Linked DNA regions of Arabidopsis thaliana. Each later gene encodes a partner of the first gene's protein in a complex. Each region holds a gene or a part of one and is shown in the gene's direction. Other genes may lie near its edges. The genes, in order: AT3G52860, NRB4, AT5G03500 and AT2G10440.

Region 1 (3,257 bases):
AAAGCTTAAGCAGCAATGCATTAGATATCTTGGACCTGTATGTGCCATTTTTTCCTCTCTTATGTCAATATTGGTTTTACTTGTTTTTGGGATTTCTCTCATATAAGCCTTTTCTGGTATCAGCAAGAGAGGGAAGAGTATGAGTATGTGATCATAGAAGGGAAGATTGTTCACAAGTTAACTGGAAAGTTCTTACACACAATGCATGGATCGGAAGGAACAAAATGGATCTTTGTTATGAGTACTTTCAAGAAACTCTATGCCGGTCTGGTAAGTTAAAACCGTTATATCTTTCTATTGGTGATGAATTGATATTAGTATTGAAAAAGATTCTAATGGTTCTTTTCTTTGTTTATGTTTACTTCAGAAAAAGAAAGGAAGGTTCCATCACTCAAGCTTTTTGGCTGGAGGAGCTACATTAGCTGCTGGGAGGGTGATTGTTGACAATGGAGTTCTCAAGGTAACTTACTAAGGCCACGTCCTTTTCTTAGAGTGGTTGAGATACATGTTCATTCATATCAACTTTTTTATTATGTCTGCCTTCTGTGATTTCTCTGTTTGATCGTTCTGTTTTCGGTTTAATCTCAGACAATCTCTGCATATAGCGGACATTACAGGCCGTCAGACGATAGTCTCGACACATTTCTCGGGTTTCTCAGAGAGAACGCAGTGAACCTAGACAATGTTGAGGTAATGCCCTTGTTCTAATCTTGGCTGGTGAATGATATCATTAACTAGAGTTTGGTTGTTTAGAAAAAGAGACTACTTGAGAGCTAATATATCTATGTATGTGTAGGTGCATAAAGCTAGTGAAGATTCTGACAGCTACGATGATTATGTTAAATCCAACGGAGGATCTGAACCGGAACCGTTAAAGAAAGAGGACACAACATTCCAAGCAGAGACTGAAACAGATGAGAACGGTAACGGAACAGTGGGAACACTTGAGGAGGCAAAACGGAGTAGCTACCAGAGAACACTCTCAGGTGGACTTGGGAGTCCAAAAGCTAACGTGCCGCAGAAATCTATGCTACTAAGGATAAACTCAAAGAAACAGTCAAGATCATTACAATTGGGACATCAGTTGTCACTGAAATGGTCGACAGGAGTTGGTCCAAGAATCGGTTGTGCAGCTGATTATCCGGTTCAGCTCAGAACACAGGCTTTGGAGTTTGTTAACTTGTCTCCTAAATACCGGAGTAGCAGACTTTCTCCGACCGGGAAGCTTGATGTCTGATCATATGTTCCGTACTTCCTTATGTAGTAGTAAATGAGAATCTTTCTTCTGTAACTAATGTGTGAGTTCTCTATCTAAGGTTTTTGTTGTCATCTTTTCACATGGATGATTGTGAATCAGAAGGAAGAGAATGAGAGATGTGTTAAAAGCTATTTTCACTGATAATGAAGAGAATGGTTACAGTATTTAGTCAATCGCTTACTCATTTTACAAATTTCATTAGAAAATCCATAGCTAAAAAATCTTTAAGTAAGGATGTAACTTATCTAATTTGATGGAGATAAAAAGTTACATAAGGAATCAAAATTTGTTACAAAAGCCATCATCTGTTATATCTTGTGACATCAAATCAAGAGTAAAGTATCAGAAAATGTTGTTCCTTCTCCTTACTATTGTTTTTTCATATGAAATAAATGATTTACTTCATATATTTATTAAAAATGAATTTTCAGTGTTTTCAATTAATTACATCAAAATGATATTCTTAAGAACAATTAAGAATGTGGAAAAGGCCCAATAAGCCCAAATTAAATCCAGTAAATGGGCCCCCATTATAATATTTTTCACTAAACCTTATGGGCAAACAAACAAGCAGAGAGAAAGAGAGATCGAGATCGGCGTGAATGGATTATCAGCAAAAGCCGCCGCAGTCTTCTGACCCTTCGCCGTCACCGCCTGACCGTCCACCGGGAATCAGATCACCGGAGACCCCCTCGAACAATCAGAATAATGACATAGAGGACATTATGGCTTGCGTCACAGCCTTGGAAGCTGCTCTGTTACCATGTTTGCCGGCGAGAGAGCTTCAGGCCATCGATCGCTCTCCTCACCCTTCTCATCAAAGTCAGTCCCTTTTCTACTCTCCAATTTCACCATTCTAGGGTTTTAGTTTGAATGATAGTTTGGAAGTTGTGTTTGTTTTTGTGCTTAACTTATGATCTCAGTGAATTTTGTGCTTAGAATTCAGTTGAAACCGAAGCTTTGATTCCATATTCGATGTTCTAGCTTAATTCCCCTCATTGAACTGCTGCAGTTGATGTGGAGCGGCACGCCAGAGATTTCATGGAAGCTGCGAAAAAGCTTCAGCTTTACTTCATGGGACTAAAGCGAGAAGATCGCGCGCCCTCGAGAGCTGAAAGCCTTAAGAAGGTGTGGTTTGATTTACCAATGTGAAAACTCCAAACACATATTGTCTTACCAGTTTCTGCTCTCTTCTGTTCTGTTCTTAACAGGATATTGCAGTAATGGAGGAAGAGCTTAAGACAAAAGATGAGCTTATAAAGAAGCACATGAGGCTTTTCCAAGAGTCGCAGAAGCTTGTGAAAGAACAGATTGAGAAACACAGAGATGAGCTGGAGAAAGTTTAACAATCTCTCAATCAAAGTTTATTGTTTTTCTTCTTATGGATCTTAAGTTAGTTTCAACAGTAAATAATGTAACACTCATTATTCATCCAGTTATGTCTATTTTACATTGTAAGAGTAATATGCAGACAAAAAGGAGATTCCATCTGCAAATCCACATTTCTTACAAATAGTGCAGGTACACTTATTTCTGTTTGTGGCTTTTTTCTTTTCTCTAGAGTTGTATCAAGTCCATTGATTCATTTACATGGAAACTTAAAGCTACTCATAGAAAGAGAGAGAGTCTCTTGGCTTGTGTTGATAACTTCACTCATATATCCATATGGTGACCACTTGTGTTGGGTGGTTGACTTTCCAATGGCATGTACTGTGCCATGATCCCTCTAATTTCCGCATCCATGTAACTCTGCATAATTTCAATTGTTACTTAGCATCTCTATCTAGACCGCAAAATCTTCCTATGTTTTAATATGATAACAAGACCAGAGTAAAGAACATCGTATACCCTGATTCTGTATTTGTAGACTGCATATCCAGAAAGACCTGCAACACCCACCCCGATTATAAGGATCCACAAAAAGCTCCAGCTGAGTTTTGTGGTTCCAACTTTGCCTGAACCTACACATTCACCAGATTCAAAAGCAGAAAGTCTGATT
Region 2 (7,555 bases), on another chromosome or scaffold:
CCTCTGTCATAAGAAAAGTTTCTCTTTTGACTTATAGGACATGTACACTTGACAAGTTAGGTGAGTTTGATTGTTTCTTAGGTAATGATACTGAAATTTACATTTGTTAAATATGTATAAAACCTTCAACCGGTTTTGTGTTTTGTTTGATGAATATTATGTGATGATTATTCTAAAATCCCCTATAATAAAAAAGTTATAAAAAAAAAAAAATTTTTAGTCTGATTATATTTATATCATAGTTCATTAACAAAACAGTTAAAATAATTGAATTAAGAAAGGACACAAATGTATTTCAAAATTAATTGAAAATCGTCTTTATTTGCTTTTATTTTTAAAATCAGATTATTAAGGATTTTATTCCTTAACTATCTACATATACATTTTTGCAGTCATTTTAGCAAATAAATCTTAGAGTTGGACTTATTTACAACCCAATGCCATTAACATTAAATATTTTCCAAAATAATTAATTTTACTTTAAATTTTTAATTTAAATTGTCAATCACATTATCAATCAAATTTAATCCAAACAAACTTCACATCAATCCCTTAAAATTAGCATAAACGTATTTTATTAACTATATTTTAAAACAATGTTTTTTGTTTAAATAAATATTATTCTTACTAAACGTTTTTTGTTTAAATAAACAAATCATGTATTTGAACTTATTTACAATGTCATACTACTGACATTAATTATTTAGGCATGAAAATATTTATTTAAGGATTTAAATCTTCTAAATTCTTGCTTTTAGAGTTATTATATCATTACCTAAAAGGCAAAAAATATTAATTTTTTAAATATTATTATTTGTATATTTAAACTTCATAAAACATTATCAATATTTGAATTTATAAAAAGTTTAATTTATCAAAAAAATTAACATCATTATATAATATATAGAGTTTTAAAAAATCTCAAAAAAAAATTCGTCATATTTTGTGATTCGAAATTTTAAGAATGAACATATATTAACCAATTGGCGAAAAATGTGTGGGTTCAATGTCACGCAACGACTAAAATATTTTGACAATGATTCATAAACATATTATAAATAAGATCAACATTAATAAAATAAATAGTTTTTTTTTTGGACGGGTTTGGCAGGACATGTTTGGTAGGACGGATTTGGCAGGACGTTACTTAGTAACAATGGTAAACTATAAAATAATTTACAAATTTTATATATATTAATTTTTAAAAATGAATTGTCTCCGCGGTGTATCGCGGGTTAAAATCTAGTAAGGTTTATTTTTCCAACCTATAAAATTATTAATAAAAAATGCTGTTTTGTTAAAAAAAACGTAAACAACATATGTGACTTAATGTACTTTTATTATATCTAATTTTATTATCACTTTATAATCACTTTTCTAAAACGTTTTCTAAAATGAAACGAAAAATATATAATTTATTTAAAATTGAAAAATAGTGGTCATATTATCTAGTTAACAAATTTCTAATACATTTTGCACCAATGCTACCATATTTGAACTGGGAAAACTATACAATTATACATGTGGTAATTAATACTAGATTTTTTTGTTTATTTTGAAAAAAAAAAAAACTTGTTATAAGCGAACTGGTAGGCTCGATTATGATTTACGACGCGAACAAGTTTCCTCTGTCTCTTTACCTAGAAGATCCTATATTCTTCATTCGTTTTTCGATCAAGCTAAACCCTAAATCCAGCTCCAATTTCCCCTTTTTCTCCTCTGTTTTCCTAATATCAAGCCCTAATCGTTGTACCAACCTTGACTCCGTCAAACGCCAAATCTCCTTGATTGGCTCTGAATTTGAGGTGAAATGTTCGAATCTCGTTTTTTTTTCTGTTGTTCTTAAGCCTTGCTTTTTAGAGTTTTCTCTTTTGATCGGGATTCCAAAGAAGATAAAGTATCTCCCTTTGTAGTTGGGTCTGGTTTATTACAATTACGAGAATAGATGAACTTTGTTGATGTAATAAAGTTTGCTTATTTTGAGTTCCTGGATTCTCGTTCCGGTGGGATTGGCTATTTGATGTTTTGAGTTTATTGCTTTTTGCTACCAACATTAGAAAGAATGAACATTTTGGCTGATCAATAAGAAATTCTGAGTGTTAATCTAATCCATGTTGTGTGGTCATTTGTTTCCTGTTGATTTGGGATAATCAGTTGTTATATTGTCATGTTTTGGTTTCTCTGTATACTTACTATTGATACTTTGCTCTTCATGGCTTGTAAACACAGAAAACTTGATGGATAATAACAATTGGAGGCCTTCTCTTCCAAACGGAGAGCCTGCCATGGATACAGGTGACTGGAGAACGCAATTGCCACCTGATTCTCGTCAGAAGATCGTCAACAAGATGTAAGTCACTCTAGCGGCGTTGTTTTGTCTATGCCAGTCAAATACTACAGAAATAGAAGGTTATTATGTTCCTTGACCAATAGTTAGTTTGTTTGTTTTACTTATTTGCTTGCCACTTGCGCAGAATGGAAACACTAAAGAAGCACCTTCCATTTTCCGGACCAGAGGGAATTAACGAGCTCAGGAGAATTGCAGCTAGATTCGAGGAGAAAATTTTCAGCGGTGCTCTTAACCAGGTTATTATGAACATATATTCTTGTTTCGTTAGTATGGTAAATATAGAGATTTGTGAGGCAATGGACTCCACAACATGGAAAAGAACTGACTTTCGGTATCTGTAAAGCTAAGCCACAATATGTTGGGTATGAAATCCATGTATACCTTCCTGATACTCTTTTATATCGCCTTTCAGACTGATTACCTTCGGAAAATATCAATGAAGATGCTGACAATGGAGACTAAATCACAAAATGCAGCTGGTTCTTCCGCAGCTATCCCTGCCGCTAATAATGGCACATCCATAGATTCGAGTAATCACGATTCTCAAGCATGAATTGCTTAAGTCTGTTTATCTGGTTTTATGGCTAATTGTTCCTCTTATTTGATGCTGTTTAACCTTTCCTTGAATAGTACCCACCAATCAAGGCCAACTTCTTCCAGGATCGTTATCAACCAATCAATCTCAAGCACCTCAGCCGTTGCTGTCCCAAACCATGCAGAATAATACTGCCTCTGGAATGACGGGTTCTACTGCTTTACCATCTTCCATGCCACCTGTTTCTTCCATAACCAATAATAACACCACAAGCGTTGTGAACCAGAATGCCAATATGCAAAATGTAGCTGGAATGTTGCAAGATTCATCTGGGCAGCATGGCCTTTCCTCGAACATGTTTTCAGGACCCCAAAGGCAGATGCTGGGTAGGCCACATGCTATGTCTTCACAGCAACAACAGCAGCCATATCTTTACCAGCAGCAGCTACAGCAGCAACTTCTCAAGCAGAACTTCCAGTCAGGGAATGTTCCCAATCCCAATTCGCTTTTGCCATCACACATTCAACAACAGCAGCAAAATGTGCTGCAGCCTAATCAACTGCATTCATCTCAACAACCTGGTGTTCCAACATCTGCGACTCAGCCCTCCACTGTGAACTCAGCTCCTCTCCAAGGTCTCCACACCAATCAGCAATCAAGTCCGCAATTGTCTTCTCAGCAGACGACACAATCTATGCTTCGTCAGCATCAATCGTCGATGCTAAGGCAACATCCGCAATCACAACAAGCCTCTGGTATCCATCAGCAGCAATCTTCATTGCCGCAACAATCAATTTCTCCTCTACAGCAGCAGCCTACACAATTAATGCGGCAACAAGCTGCAAATAGCTCAGGCATCCAACAGAAGCAGATGATGGGGCAGCATGTTGTTGGGGATATGCAGCAGCAACATCAGCAAAGGTTACTGAACCAACAAAATAATGTTATGAACATACAACAGCAGCAGTCGCAGCAGCAACCACTGCAGCAGCCACAGCAACAGCAGAAACAGCAGCCACCGGCCCAGCAGCAGTTGATGTCTCAACAAAACAGCCTCCAGGCAACGCATCAGAACCCACTGGGCACTCAAAGCAATGTTGCAGGATTGCAGCAACCACAACAACAGATGCTCAATTCCCAGGTTGGCAATTCGAGTTTGCAGAATAACCAGCACTCGGTGCACATGTTATCACAACCAACGGTTGGGCTGCAACGAACACATCAGGCTGGCCATGGCTTGTATTCTTCTCAGGGACAACAGTCACAAAATCAGCCATCACAACAGCAGATGATGCCACAGCTTCAATCGCATCATCAGCAGCTGGGTTTGCAACAACAACCTAATCTGCTACAACAGGATGTGCAACAAAGGCTACAAGCTTCAGGCCAAGTCACTGGTTCCCTGCTTCCACCTCAAAATGTTGTGGACCAACAGAGACAACTATATCAATCCCAAAGAACCCTTCCGGAGATGCCATCATGTATGCTTTTGATCCTTTTAATACTTTAGGTTCTGATATTTTCCATAATCTCTCAGCAGGATATGATGCTGAACATATTTTCGTTTTTATAATTCTTAGCATCGCTGGATTCGACAGCACAGACGGAAAGTGCAAATGGAGGTGATTGGCAAGAGGAGGTTTACCAAAAGGTAGTTCTCTCTTTTTGTGTTTGCTATATATCTTTACCAATTATGGCTACACTTATTAAATCTTCAAGTGATAGATATCATTGTAATGAGTAATCATATGACCATATTGCTTGTCTTTGTAGATCAAATCTATGAAAGAGACTTACTTACCAGATCTGAATGAAATCTACCAGAGAGTTGCAGCAAAGTTGCAGCAAGTAAGTTACAATTTTCTTTTCTTTTTTATACTAGGAGAATCGTTTGTACGTCTATGTCCTCTGGAACAGTAGTGAGTACCTTCTGAGAAGCTTTATGAATTCAATGCAAGTTCGGTTCGTTATTGCATAAGAACGTCATCAACTTTGGAGTCTTGTTACCCATTTAACAAAGAAAAAGAAAAAGAATCTTGAGACTCGTATTCTTACAGTTTACTAGAAAATCAACCTGCTGATATTTATGTTCCTTCCCAAACCTACAGAAGTTGTAGCTTGCATCTATGTATTTGTTTCTTTTTTATTTAGTAAGTTATTTTTGTATCTGGAGCAGGATTCTATGCCACAGCAACAAAGATCAGATCAGCTTGAGAAACTGAGACAATTCAAAACAATGTTGGAGCGAATGATACAATTTCTATCTGTTTCAAAGAGCAACATCATGCCCGCATTAAAAGATAAGGTGGCTTATTATGAGAAGCAGATTATAGGTTTCTTAAATATGCACAGGCCGAGGAAGCCAGTACAGCAAGGGCAGCTTCCGCAATCTCAGATGCAGCCTATGCAGCAACCACAATCTCAGACAGTTCAAGATCAATCCCATGATAACCAAACAAATCCGCAGATGCAATCAATGAGCATGCAGGGTGCTGGGCCAAGGGCACAACAGAGTAGTATGACAAATATGCAGAGCAATGTTCTATCATCTCGTCCTGGAGTTTCAGCTCCACAGCAGAACATTCCCAGTTCCATACCGGCTTCTAGTTTAGAATCAGGCCAAGGAAATACCTTGAACAATGGACAGCAGGTTGCCATGGGATCTATGCAACAAAATACTTCTCAACTAGTAAATAACAGTTCTGCCTCTGCTCAAAGTGGGTTGAGCACACTGCAGTCGAATGTGAATCAACCCCAGTTAAGTTCCAGTTTGCTTCAGCATCAGCACCTCAAGCAACAGCAAGATCAACAAATGCAGCTCAAACAGCAATTTCAACAGCGCCAGATGCAACAGCAACAGTTGCAAGCAAGACAGCAACAGCAACAGCAACAGTTGCAAGCAAGACAGCAAGCGGCACAATTACAGCAGATGAATGATATGAATGATTTAACATCGAGGCAGGGGATGAATGTCAGTCGTGGGATGTTTCAGCAACATTCTATGCAGGGTCAGCGTGCGAATTATCCTCTTCAACAGTTAAAACCAGGAGCTGTTTCGTCGCCTCAACTTCTGCAAGGTGCATCTCCTCAGATGTCACAACATTTGTCTCCTCAGGTTGACCAGAAAAATACTGTCAACAAGATGGGAACTCCATTGCAACCTGCAAATTCCCCTTTTGTTGTCCCATCTCCTTCTTCAACCCCCTTGGCTCCGTCCCCTATGCAAGTTGACTCTGAGAAACCTGGTTCTTCTTCGTTGTCAATGGGAAATATTGCACGCCAACAAGCAACCGGCATGCAAGGTGTAGTTCAGTCCCTAGCAATTGGCACTCCAGGGATCTCTGCCTCTCCTCTCCTTCAGGAGTTTACTAGTCCTGATGGGAATATTTTAAATTCTTCGACAATTACATCTGGAAAACCGAGTGCTACTGAGCTGCCTATTGAACGCCTTATTAGAGCCGTAAGTAAATTTCCAATTTTTAAGGGTATATCGCAGCAGGACGGTGATATTGCTGCAAACCCGTTTTGTAATATAATCATTGTTCTGCTTATGATGTATGCTTTGCTTTCAGGTGAAGTCCATCTCACCACAAGCCCTTTCTTCTGCAGTAAGTGACATCGGATCTGTTGTAAGCATGGTTGATCGGATAGCTGGTTCAGCACCAGGAAACGGTTCAAGAGCTTCCGTTGGTGAAGACTTGGTTGCAATGACTAAGTGCCGTCTCCAAGCAAGAAACTTCATGACCCAAGAGGGAATGATGGCGACTAAGAAAATGAAGCGTCACACAACCGCAATGCCACTAAGCGTTGCTTCACTGGGAGGAAGTGTTGGTGATAACTACAAGCAGTTTGCTGGTTCAGAAACATCCGATCTAGAATCTACTGCGACTTCGGATGGCAAGAAGGCAAGAACTGAGGTATGATACTCAGTTAGACTTCCCCTAGCTATATTTGAATATTGACACACACTCACACACACACACACACACGTAACAAAGAAAATTTGGAAGCACAAGGTTTCGATATTCTTTTTTTTTTGAAGACTCAATCTTGAACTGCAGACCGAGCATGCCCTTTTGGAGGAAATAAAGGAAATAAACCAGCGGCTGATAGATACAGTTGTTGAGATAAGTGATGATGAAGATGCTGCTGATCCTAGTGAGGTTGCAATATCAAGCATAGGGTGTGAAGGAACAACAGTTAGATTCTCGTTTATAGCTGTTTCTCTCAGCCCAGCCTTGAAGGCTCATCTCTCATCAACACAAATGGTAAACATGGTCATCTCGTTAACATTAACGTTTTGTGAAACAAAATATTTCATTTATCCTTTTTTATAATATATGCTTTGTGCTTCTATTACAGTCTCCTATTCAACCATTGCGTCTGCTGGTTCCTTGTAGCTACCCCAATGGCTCTCCATCTCTTCTAGATAAACTCCCGGTCGAAACCAGGTACAAGCAAATCCTTCAGTCTCAAGTAAATAGAACCATAGATTTTCCGTACCGAGTCGAGCAAACTTCTACGATACAGTTAAAATCTTCACAAGAATCATCTACTAGAAACCCTTTATTAGAAACTGCGTTATCTTCTTACCGTAACACGGTCTGGTTTCTTGAACAGCAAAGAAAACGAGGACCTGTCGTCCAAAGCTATGGCAAGGTTCAACATAT
Region 3 (4,270 bases), on another chromosome or scaffold:
GTGTGTATATATAATGTAATGGGTAAGAGAAAAGATGAGAAAAGAAGCAAACCCAAAATAACTTTTGGTGAAGGATTCCTTTCTGGAAGTTTTGGTTTGCAAGCCTGGAACCACTTGTTGTTCTCTTCTTGTTTTTATTTTTTTCCTTTCAATTTTTTTTAAATGATTTTCTCTTTTTTTGGTTAACTTTTGTTTTGCTTGTCTTATGAATCACATAAAAAAAAATACTAGTATTTTACTTATTAAATACTCATAAGCATCCTTATAATTTCAAAAGACACACATCATTATAGCTAAAGTAACAAAAATGTGGATTCAATGTCAACACTAATCTTAGAAGATGTTATTTTATTTTCTTTCTGAAAATGAAATTAAATCTGTGTTTTCTGTTCAAGAAGGTGTCATTCTACATATACCATTTTTTCTTATTAATAAAATGAACTACAATTTTGACACTTGGAATGTAATGTATTATATTAAGAAGAATCAAACTGGATTGCGTATTCTAAATATGCCACTCAATTTATTGATTTTTTTTCCTTTGATTTCACATTATCACTAACTAAAATCCTAAAACTTTATAAATAATTTTATATTGATGGCTTGAGTCATCCACAAGTAGTTTCAACACGAAACACAGTACCACAACACACACAATTCAAGCATATTATAAATTCCTGCAAACTTATTACGTTTTGTAACAAATTACATTAAAGATTTGAAACCAACTATTATATATAAAAGCTACTAAAGTACAAATTTAACTTGAAAATACGTCGAATTCTGTTTTTGTTTCTTAATACTACTAATCATTGCGGATATATGTACACTTAAGTTGCTGATTAAATAATTAAGTTAATTAATTGGAAAGTAAAAGGCAATCGAATTTTGGGGTCGAGCAGTTCATGTGCAGTTGAGCCAACCCACAATTACACAACACACAATTATGAATCATGATTCTAGTTATGTATACAATATTTAGTTATAATGATATTAGCTAAAACGAATTAAATATATAATATCACTCCCTATGTTTGCGCCTCTTTCTAAGAAACTTTGATTTTTATTTTGGTTATCCAATTATTTGATCAAACCATTATTAATCTTGTGATTAGCTAATAATATGTATTCGATGAAGTAACCTCCCTTATCGTAGTTTGTAACTGTAGTCTAGGTCTTTGTAGTATAGTATACTAATAAACTCGGTGACAGCAATTTATAAAATTCAAGAAACACATGTTTTTTTAATATTCATTCTACATAATGAGTTTCTTAGAGCTGGATTGATATCCAACTTTTACTCATTCAACTCTATACACATTAGTTGTCTTTGGCTCTCAATGATTATCTTTTGCTAACGTGTTACTATACATACAATAGATCATTAAGAAGAATATTTTTGAGTGTATTGTGAAGCTAGTATCATCACAATTTTAAAATGAATAAATCAGGAGGAATTGATTTAAGTCTTGGCGTCGAGGATTGTGTGTGTGAAAGAGAGATAGAGAATTGCTTGGCCGCCAAAAGAAGCCATTACTTGCCAACTAGCTAGCTTCACTACTCAACCTAAGCAAAGCATATACTTTATAAATAAATAAATAAAATCATAAACATAATTAGTCGTCACCCATCATACATTCATCATCACCATCCTAACAAAACCTTTTTTACAAGGCTTCTCAAAAACCGTTAAGTAGTTGTTGCAACTTGCAAGGATCACCTAAACAAATTATACCGAAACTTGCACAATTGAATTCCAATATTTTAAAAACATTTTTCTTTTGTCATTTGAAGCATATAAAATGGTTCTGAATTCTGATATAGGTGGGTGGAACAGAGTCTTCCCCCATATAGCAAATCCCTCAACGGCTCTAGAAATACGTTTTAAGCTTCACGAGGAATAAGAAGATTAGGAATATATGGGCTTAAAGCAGGCCTGAACTAAATTAAAGGCCCAACTAAAAGAGAGGAAACAAATCTCGATTTGCTTTCTCTGGTGAGCGTGTCTTCTTCCGATCGTCTTCTCCGGCTGCGTGAATTCTCCGCCGAGCCATCTCTCTGGCGAATCTCCAGTGAGTTCTATTATTTTCACTCTGTCTTTTATGCTTCCCGTGAAAGGGATTTTTTTATTTCTCTCCCTCAGATTCTCCTTGTCGCCACCAACTCATTCGTCTCCCTACCCATTTGTGGCCACTGGATTTTTTGTATTGACCTTTCTTTTTTCCTCATGAATCAATTGAAATCTACTGTTAAGCATTTGACGATTTTGGACAAATTGGTGGTGATTTAGGAATAACACGGTTGTGGTGGTGGCGGCTACTTCAACGTGACGATGACAGATTAGTTTCTAGTGATGACAGATTAGTTTCTAGTGGTCGCAGAGTTATTTGGTAGTGATGACATAGTTGTATTCTAATGAGAACAGATTGTTTTATGGCGGTAGACGGATTTGTTTTTGATTAGAAACCCTAATTTTAGGAATCTGTTACTGATTTTGCTTAGTTTTTGATTTGGATATGTAGAGAATAATGGCTACAGCTACATATCCACCTCCTCCTCCATATTACAGACTCTACAAGGATTTCTCAGAAAACACTGATTCTGCTCCTGAACCTCCTCCTCCGATTGAAGGCACCTACGTCTGTTTTGGAGGCAACTATACTGTGAGTCTCCTCCACATTTCCCCCTCTTTAAAATCTTCATCTTTATGTGTTTTTAGCAATTTTCAATTTTTTTGGTTAGTAGACTGAAGATGTTCTTCCAAGCTTAGAAGAACAAGGAGTGCCTCAACTTTATCCAAAAGATTCTAATCTTGGTATGTCATTCTCCTAACTCTGTGAAATCAAACTCAAAATGCAATTGCTATTGGCTGTCTAGAGTATGGTTTTTGGTTCTTCCCTTCATTGGAATCAAACTTATTACATGAGTTCATTTGCAAGTTATGTTCTTTGAAAGTACCTCTTTGAGTTCAAATATCTTTGTGTGTAGATTACAAGAAGGAACTCAGGTCACTGAATAGAGAACTACAGTTACATATATTGGAGCTTGCTGATGTTCTTGTTGACAGACCTTCTCAATATGCGAAGAGAATTGGTGAAATTTCTTCAATCTTCAAGAACTTGCATCACCTTCTCAATTCCTTGAGGCCTCACCAAGTAAAGAAGCTCTCATCTTTCGATTAATTACAACATGGTTTCAACACTTTTTGTTTTTTCATCGTTTTGATCTTTCTCTTGTTGTATAGGCGAGAGCAACGCTTATTCACATTATGGAACTTCAAATTCAACAGAGGAAACAAGCTGTGGAAGACATTAAGAGGTTTGTATATGCTACTTAAGTTTTCTGTCTTTATGGTGTGTTAATAATTTAATATCAATCTATCATCTGTTTAAAGATTCTTCAGAAGCTTTGTTGGTTGTTCTTATGGGTCCGTTTGATGTTTTGGTTGTGTGCAGGAGGAGAGAAGAAGCACAAGGACTTCTTAAGGATGCTTTCGTCACTTTAGATGGTCAATAAAGTATACTTTTTGTTAATCCCATTTTGTGTAAATTAGCGCTAATAACCTATGCCCTCGAAACTTTTTTTAATTGATCCTGTGTGTGTGAGAGAGAGAGACAGACGTGTGCAATCTCATGATTCAACAAGTAAAGCCTATATCATCTTTATTCAATGTTACCCGTGAACCGGCATTTAGTTCCGCCGGTTAGTGCGGTTCAACATTTATTATTACAATTTCGGCTTAACGGGAACTATTATAACCATAACGGATTCATAAGAAGATTAGACCAATATGGGCTTAACGCAGGGCTAAACTAAATTGAAGACCCGACAGTTTGTTCGTAACTACACGTAAGTATCTGAACAACAACAACAGCTTTATAAGGGAATCAACAAAAAATAGTTGAACAAAAAAAAATTAACCTTGTTCAAAGCTAAATCCTGTCAAATATCTTTGGAACCCTAGCAGTCGGTCTTGTCAATTTATCATCAGCATGGACGAATCCGCCATCAAAGTAATCTTCTTCTCCTTATGGACTCTCCTCTTACTCACTCTATTTCTCTTCACAAGAGGATGGAGATGAAGATTAAGATGGATATGGACAGGAGAAAGAGGATGGAGATGGAGAATTAGGAGGGAGATGGAGAATTAGGAGGAGACGAACCTCTTTGTTTTTTTATAATGTATTTACCTTTGTTTGTTTTTGTCTTTGCATGTTAAAAGTAAGTAAGCTCAGTAATCATCACCTGCCTTGATCATGTATGATATGTC
Region 4 (6,478 bases), on another chromosome or scaffold:
TGAGAAGTGTGTACGTATGTATATAATGTCTTCTTCCTCTCGCCGCTTATGTTACGAGCACGCAATGTTAACCTTATCAAAATCATAGAAATTTGATCTCAACTCTCAAGTCACCATCATCCTCCACTATCGAGTTCACCATCGTTGTAGTTTGTGGTTGTGGTCCCGATCGTGTTAAGTGGTGACGTGAAGTTATCGTCACGTAACATCCAACCCTAATCATCACCATCTGAGCCACTATTAGCCTTCTTCGTCCTCCTTCTTCACCGGAATCTAGATCTATCATTGGTGCTTTGTTTGGGTCTGTGATACCGAATCCTCTACTTCTTCGTTGCAGAGTGAGATAACGGTGAAACCTTATTCTCGTATTCATGTTAAGGTGTTGTGTTGTTTAATTATTGAACCAACCTAAACCAAGGGATTACGTATAGTTACGGCCATGAATTGAAACTTGATTATTAAGGAACCTTTTGAGTTGATCGGTTATGGCGTCAGTTGGGTTGTGTTAGTGAAGAAGACGATATAGTCAGTTATTGGCTTATTAGAAAGCGTTGGGTTAATTGTCAAACCAGAAGTAGCATTGACATGTACGTGATTTGAATTGTGGCGTTGGTTTAATTATTAAACCGGGGAGTATTTGGTCACGTAAATGGATGTGGCGTAGTCAATTACGTGTTAAGCAACTAATATTAAATTATTAGACTTGGTTTAGTTATTAGATTAAATAACAAATTATTAAGGGAATATAATCTTGATTGATTAATCTAAATTGTTGTAGTTTGAGATCGTTGTTGAGCCGGATCCATTGTTGCTAGTCCTATTTCTTAAAATCCAACCGAGTTGCCAAGGTGAGGGTAGGATCTGTGGAAACATAGTATCACCTTTACTTTTGTATTTCTGAATTTCATTTGTATAAGATTAGACATTGGGTGCTGATTGTTAAAATGTTAGGATTATATATTAAATATTGTTGATTCAGTAATCAAACAATGAATTTGTACTAAGGGATTTAGACAAATTCACTCCTCTCTTAGCTCACAAATAATCAAAGGAAAAGAACTAGGTTGCTTAAACAAAAAGCTAGGGTTTGCTCTGTAATAGTAGTCTCTTGTATTAGGTTAAAGATGATCTCAATGGGGGGTTTGACCCCTCTATTTATACAATAGGTCGAATATACCAAAATATGATAAACTTCTAATTATCTTAGGTTTAAATCTTCATTACTTCTATTCTTCATGAGATCCTCTTCTCTTAAATGGAAGTTTTCCCTTTACACGACCTAAGAAGTTGGTTATGGCGATCTTGATTGTCGACTTAAGTCTTCGGGCGATCTCATGACTTAGGCCCATTAACAGGCTAACCGGGATACCCCGGTTCAATCGAATTCTCGATTTTATTCACATTATTCCTCGGTTTAAATTAGTATTGTCGGAGGTGCTAATTCCTGCACCAACAAATATTATAATACGTGTTGTGTGATATTATGCGATAGGTTGTTAGCGTGATATGCATATTGATTTTTGAATACTCTTTTGTCGTTTTCTTGTACTATATATTTATCTGTTTTGTGTTACCATGTTGAGTAATTTCTCTAATCATTCTTTTGTTTGTTTGTTAAGGTTTAGCGAGGCGGTTCTTGGTCAAAGCCTATACATACATCTCCCCGTTAGGACGCATAACTTAATGGAGGGAAATACTAACTGGAAGCCTAATGAACAAGGCGGAAACCGTGATGCTGCGAATAATCGTATTGATTGGAGATCACAACATGAGCCTGAATTACGGCAAAAGGTTCTTTCAAAAATGTAAGCCATTCTTTCAAGAGTTTCATGTTTCTTTTGTTGGACTCATTGTTCTTATTTGATTATTAACATTCATGAAAGAGAGTAAGGTTTTCTTGGTCATGCTTTCGATGTGATATTTGTAGTTTGCGCATGATAAAGATTGCAACAGTTAAAGCATAAGAGTTGTGCATAAATGTTTATCATAGTTGACAAAACCTAACTTCAACCTTTTGTACTTTAAGTTTTGCATATTCTTTTAACCTCATTACCTGCATTTAGGCTCTTCCTCACTAGGAGAATCTTGTTTTACTCTCGCTTCTATGTACAATTGCTTGGCACATATGTATAATTGTTTCAGTGTTTGTTCGCTAAACGATTATCGTAAGTTCGAATATTAACTACGGATTATTTTCTCTGTTTTGTATTTTTAGTGCAATTAAAATGGTATCACTTCCTCTTGAATATCAGTTATAACCAAATTCTTCATAGTCACTGATATTTTGTTCTCATGTATGTGTAGAGTTGAAAAGTTCAAGGAAAAGTTTCATGCACATGAAGAATATAAGATTAACGACATCGCTTCCAAATTTGAAGAAAATTTTTATAGCATAGCAACCGATAAGGTGTTAAACTACAAATTGTTTCTCCATCTATTAACTTCAGAATCTGAATTTGATATCTTACTCATTGTCCCCTTGCTATGTTTCAGAATGATTACCTTAGGAAACTCAGTGAAACACTGCATTATATACAGAGAACTTACACTAGAGTTCTAGGTAATAAGTTTTTGGTTTCATAATTATACTATTTTAGCTTAATAACAAAGAAATCACTAACTAACTTTTTTTTTCTATGTGTTTATCTAAACATCAGCTTCTCAAGTAGTTGTGAATCAAGCTCAATCTCTTCCCGCCTTGTTGCCATATATGCAGACTACAACGAGCCAACAATGGTTACAGCAAAACACACAGAGCAATCTCTGTGTCATCTGCTTTGCCAAGTCAGGTCCCTATAACCGTTCCCGGTTCTCAAAGACAGATACATGGTAGGCAACAACTTCTTCCTCAGCAGCAACAGCCTCAAATGAATCAAATCCGCCATGGTAATTTACGACCTTCGCACATGCAACAACAAGCTCGGTCACCGCAGCCGCAACATCATCCGCAAAGTTTGTTGAAACAACCTATTCAACAGCCTTTTCCTCAATCAAGCTAACAAAACACTCAATCACTGACCAGAAATCAGTTTTCGATACAACGGGTCAGTTTTAGTCATCAACAACAGATGGTTCTGCCGTCTCAAGAACAGAAACGACAAGAACAAGAGCAACTCATTAATCAACTGACGAATCTTCCAACATCACGACCAAACAATAGAGACCAACAAGGAGCTTTTCAGGTATCCTCGTCTCAGCAGAACAATAATGTTACCTTACATGCAATGTCTCAACAGAAGAATAACCTCCAAAGTATGACTAGAGGTCAACAAGTAGGACAATCTCAACCAATGATGTCACAACAATACCGACAACAATACCCCATGCAGCAGGATCCTCAGAACAGAAACTTACAGAAACATTTGGATTTTGTACAAAACAATACCAATCAATTTCAAGCAGCAAGTTCGTTGCGCCAAACACAAAACATAACAGATCAACAGAACCAGCCACAACAATTAGAGAGAGCAAATCCATCTAGTATGTTTCCTCTCTTACTAACTCTTGTGATAATGTTTTTAGTTCTAATAATGAATATCATTGTAGCATCTCAAGATTCTACGGGAAAGACGGTAAATGTCAATGCCGGAAACTGGCAGGAGGAGACCTATCAGAAGGTATCTTCACTTGCTTTGCTCTTCACTTCTTAACATCACAATTAGGGTTTGATTTTGTTTTCAATTGATTCCCATTCTGATATGTCCTGCAGATAAAAAAACTGAAAGAGATGTGTTTACCTGTTCTCAGTTTAATGCACCAAAGAGTTGCGGAAAAATTGCGGGAGGTACTTTATTTTATAACCTAATTGTTTTGCTTGTGGAACAAGAATTTGTTCTAATGGTTTTCTTAATCATTTTTTTTTCTAAAACTTTGTGTTGTTTTTGGTTTAATAAACCTAATGTTTCCAGACTGAATCTCTTCCGCCGCAACCGATGCAAGCTCAGTGGATTGAAAAGCTAAAGGCGGGAAAATTGTCAATGGAACACCTTATGTTTTTCTTAAATGTTCATAGGAGCAGTGTATCAGAGAAACATAGAGACAAGTTTAGTCAATATGAGTACCACATATTGAAATTTACCAAGAGTCAGACCATGGTTTTGAGGCCAACGCAGCAACAACAAGGACAATTTCCTCCTTCTCAAACAGCAATGCAAACCCAAAGTCCTCAAGTCCATGTGTCACAGTCTCTTTATAAGGAGCAAAGGAGATCACGGTTGATGCCAAGTAGCCAAAATGAGGCCTCGTCTTTGTTGCAAATAAGGCCTAAGTTGGATCCAAGAGACGAGAACATCATTATGGCTTCCTCAGGAAATGTCATGTTACCTTCTGTTAAACAAAATCCTCGGGCCGTAAACACAAATATCAGTTCGGTTCAGTCGTTGCAGAAGCAGAAGCGATTCCATCACCGACAAATGCAACAACAACAACCACAACAAGGGAATCATCAACATCAAATGCAGACAAATGAGATGAATGATGTGAGGATGAGGGAGAGGGTCAACATTAAAGCCAGGTTGCTTGAGCAACAAGTCTCATCGAGTCAGCGCCAGGTTCCAAAGCAAGAGTCTAACGTTTCATCCTCTCAGATACAGAACCACTCTTCTCCTCAGTTAGTTGACCAGCATATTCTTCCTGCGACGATTAACAAAACCGGAACCCCATTGAACTCTAGTGGTTCGGCTTTTGTTGCTCCAGCTCCATCTCCAGTTCCTGGAGATTCTGAAATGCCTATATCTGTTGAGTCTCCAGTTTCTGGTGTTGATGAAATAAACTCAACTTTAGATTCTTCTAGTAAACTTGGCACACAAGAAACTCCTCTGTTATTTGTTCCTCCGCCCGAGCCAATCACAGAGCGGCCTATTGATCGACTTATAAAAGCGGTAAGTAAACTCTATAGCTTATCTAAGTTTACTTTCTTTACCTTCTCCTATTTACTGACCTAATTTTTAATGTGTGTGGCTTTCTAGTTTCAAGCAGCATCACCAAAATCATTGGCAGAATCTGTAAGTGAGATTAGCTCGGTGATTAGTATGGTTGACATGATTGGAGGATCGTTCCCTTCTAGTGGAGGATCTAGAGCTGGTTTAGGCGAGGATTTGAGTGAGAGGACAAGAAACTTTACCACACACGAAGAAACAAATCTGTCTAAGAGAATGAAGCGATCAATCAACATTGTGCCGCCAGATATGTCATCACAAATTGATAGTTATGAACAGTTGAGTAGCCTTGAATCTGAAGTTGTTTCCACAACATCATCTGGCTTGAAAGTTAACAATATTGCGGTAAAATCTACTCTATTGGTATCGAACTACGAAAACAAATGAAACATCGAAATAAATCCATTTTTTCAATCTTGTAGCCTGGTTATGCCCTTTTGCAAGAAATCAAAGAAACAAATGGGAGACTTGTAGAGACAGTGGTAGAGATATGTGATGAAGATTCTTTAGGAACAATCGTCACTTGTACTTATGCTCCTGTGGCTCTCAGTGCCACATTCAAAGATCATTACAAGTCTGGAAAAATTGTAAGTTACTTCAAACTTCTTCTTTTTCCTCACTCTGCTCAGATTTTTTATGTCTCTAAATGTTTGATGCAGGCACAGATTCAACCTTTACGCTTACTATTTCCTATGGATTATCCGTATAGTTCTCCGATAGTTCTCGAGGAAATCTCCTTTGACACTAGGTATGAATCTTTCTTAGAAATCAAGTAACAACGATTGGAGTAAATATATATGATCTTAAGGATTTATATCTGCATGTTTCAGTGTACACAAGTATGAGGATCTATCCGCGAGAACCAGATCAAGGTTCAGTTTGTCCATGAAGGAATTTTCAGAACCAGGGTTTTCGAAAGGAATAGCTCAAACGTGGAATGATTGTGCGAGAGCGACAATGGTTGAGTACGCAGAGAGACATGGTGGAGGCACTTTCAGCTCCAAGTATGGTGCTTGGGAAACGGTTCTAAGAGCTTCATGAGGACTAATACTTCCTTTCTCACTCACCGTACAAGATAGTTTTTAGGTGGGAAGCCTTATAGCCCAAGTTAGGTTTTTTTTTATTTCCTTTGAGATAGAAGTAACATTTATTTGTATGGTGTGGCTCATGTCTTCTTATTGTATATATTTTAACAAGAAATTATAATTGTTTCAAAACCGATAGTATAATAAATTATCTTGAAATATTTAGGCACAAAGCCTTTTTTTTAAAAAAGATTTTAAAGTATTTTATTGTTTTTTCTTATTACATGTTTCATTTATAGAGCCCAAAAGGTTGGAATATAAGTTTTAAAAAAGGATTACAGAAAATGAAGCCAAGCCTATAAAACTAAATCATCCTTAGTAATTTAAACATCCACTCATAAAGATTTTGCTGATGAAACGTGTTGATGAAGTGTTTTGCCCTATGACACGGGCCGAGACGTCAAGCACCGCTGTTGAATTCGCGGGAAACCGCTAGAATTCACCAAAATGTTGAGA

The links.
Region 2: AT3G52860 (region 1) and NRB4 share a complex: the UniProt entries of both Arabidopsis thaliana proteins name them as parts of the mediator complex.
Region 3: AT3G52860 (region 1) and AT5G03500 share a complex: the UniProt entries of both Arabidopsis thaliana proteins name them as parts of the mediator complex.
Region 4: AT3G52860 (region 1) and AT2G10440 share a complex: the UniProt entries of both Arabidopsis thaliana proteins name them as parts of the mediator complex.

Annotation. Positions count from the first base shown.
Region 1 is NC_003074.8:19,591,345-19,594,601, reverse strand, and holds AT3G52860 (mediator of RNA polymerase II transcription subunit-like protein), read left to right. Parts: upstream 1-1,833; 5' UTR 1,834-1,860; coding exon 1,861-2,080; exon of another isoform or gene 2,081-2,270; coding exon 2,271-2,386; intron 2,387-2,469; coding exon 2,470-2,604; 3' UTR 2,605-2,754; downstream 2,755-3,257. Other genes in the region: AT3G52870 (IQ calmodulin-binding motif family protein), read left to right, coding at 1-37, 124-270, 368-460, 589-690, 797-1,237; VSR1 (vacuolar sorting receptor homolog 1), read right to left, coding at 2,912-3,007, 3,107-3,219. UniProt on the Arabidopsis thaliana protein: Component of the Mediator complex, a coactivator involved in the regulated transcription of nearly all RNA polymerase II-dependent genes.
Region 2 is NC_003070.9:5,430,604-5,438,158, reverse strand, and holds the start of NRB4 (mediator of RNA polymerase II transcription subunit 15a-like protein), read left to right. Parts: upstream 1-1,540; 5' UTR 1,541-1,805; intron 1,806-1,806; exon of another isoform or gene 1,807-1,945; coding exon of another isoform or gene 1,946-2,003; intron 2,004-2,229; coding exon of another isoform or gene 2,230-2,237; coding exon 2,238-2,350; intron 2,351-2,474; coding exon 2,475-2,586; intron 2,587-2,762; coding exon 2,763-2,880; intron 2,881-2,980; coding exon 2,981-4,366; intron 4,367-4,465; coding exon 4,466-4,536; intron 4,537-4,658; coding exon 4,659-4,733; intron 4,734-5,061; coding exon 5,062-6,345; intron 6,346-6,457; coding exon 6,458-6,802; intron 6,803-6,946; coding exon 6,947-7,153; intron 7,154-7,247; coding exon 7,248-7,555. UniProt on the Arabidopsis thaliana protein: Component of the Mediator complex, a coactivator involved in the regulated transcription of nearly all RNA polymerase II-dependent genes.
Region 3 is NC_003076.8:875,919-880,188, reverse strand, and holds AT5G03500 (Mediator complex, subunit Med7), read left to right. Parts: upstream 1-1,813; 5' UTR 1,814-2,415; coding exon 2,416-2,439; exon of another isoform or gene 2,440-2,522; coding exon 2,523-2,663; intron 2,664-2,745; coding exon 2,746-2,815; intron 2,816-2,988; coding exon 2,989-3,155; intron 3,156-3,244; coding exon 3,245-3,318; intron 3,319-3,455; coding exon 3,456-3,516; 3' UTR 3,517-3,749; downstream 3,750-4,270. UniProt on the Arabidopsis thaliana protein: Component of the Mediator complex, a coactivator involved in the regulated transcription of nearly all RNA polymerase II-dependent genes.
Region 4 is NC_003071.7:4,013,252-4,019,729, reverse strand, and holds AT2G10440 (mediator of RNA polymerase II transcription subunit), read left to right. Parts: upstream 1-1,683; coding exon 1,684-1,805; intron 1,806-2,142; coding exon of another isoform or gene 2,143-2,169; intron 2,170-2,304; coding exon 2,305-2,407; intron 2,408-2,493; coding exon of another isoform or gene 2,494-2,560; intron 2,561-2,657; coding exon of another isoform or gene 2,658-2,716; coding exon 2,717-2,829; intron 2,830-2,919; coding exon 2,920-3,044; intron 3,045-3,087; coding exon 3,088-3,480; intron 3,481-3,522; coding exon 3,523-3,617; intron 3,618-3,709; coding exon 3,710-3,784; intron 3,785-3,908; coding exon 3,909-4,880; intron 4,881-4,967; coding exon 4,968-5,282; intron 5,283-5,359; coding exon 5,360-5,524; intron 5,525-5,566; coding exon 5,567-5,685; intron 5,686-5,767; coding exon 5,768-5,978; downstream 5,979-6,478. UniProt on the Arabidopsis thaliana protein: Component of the Mediator complex, a coactivator involved in the regulated transcription of nearly all RNA polymerase II-dependent genes.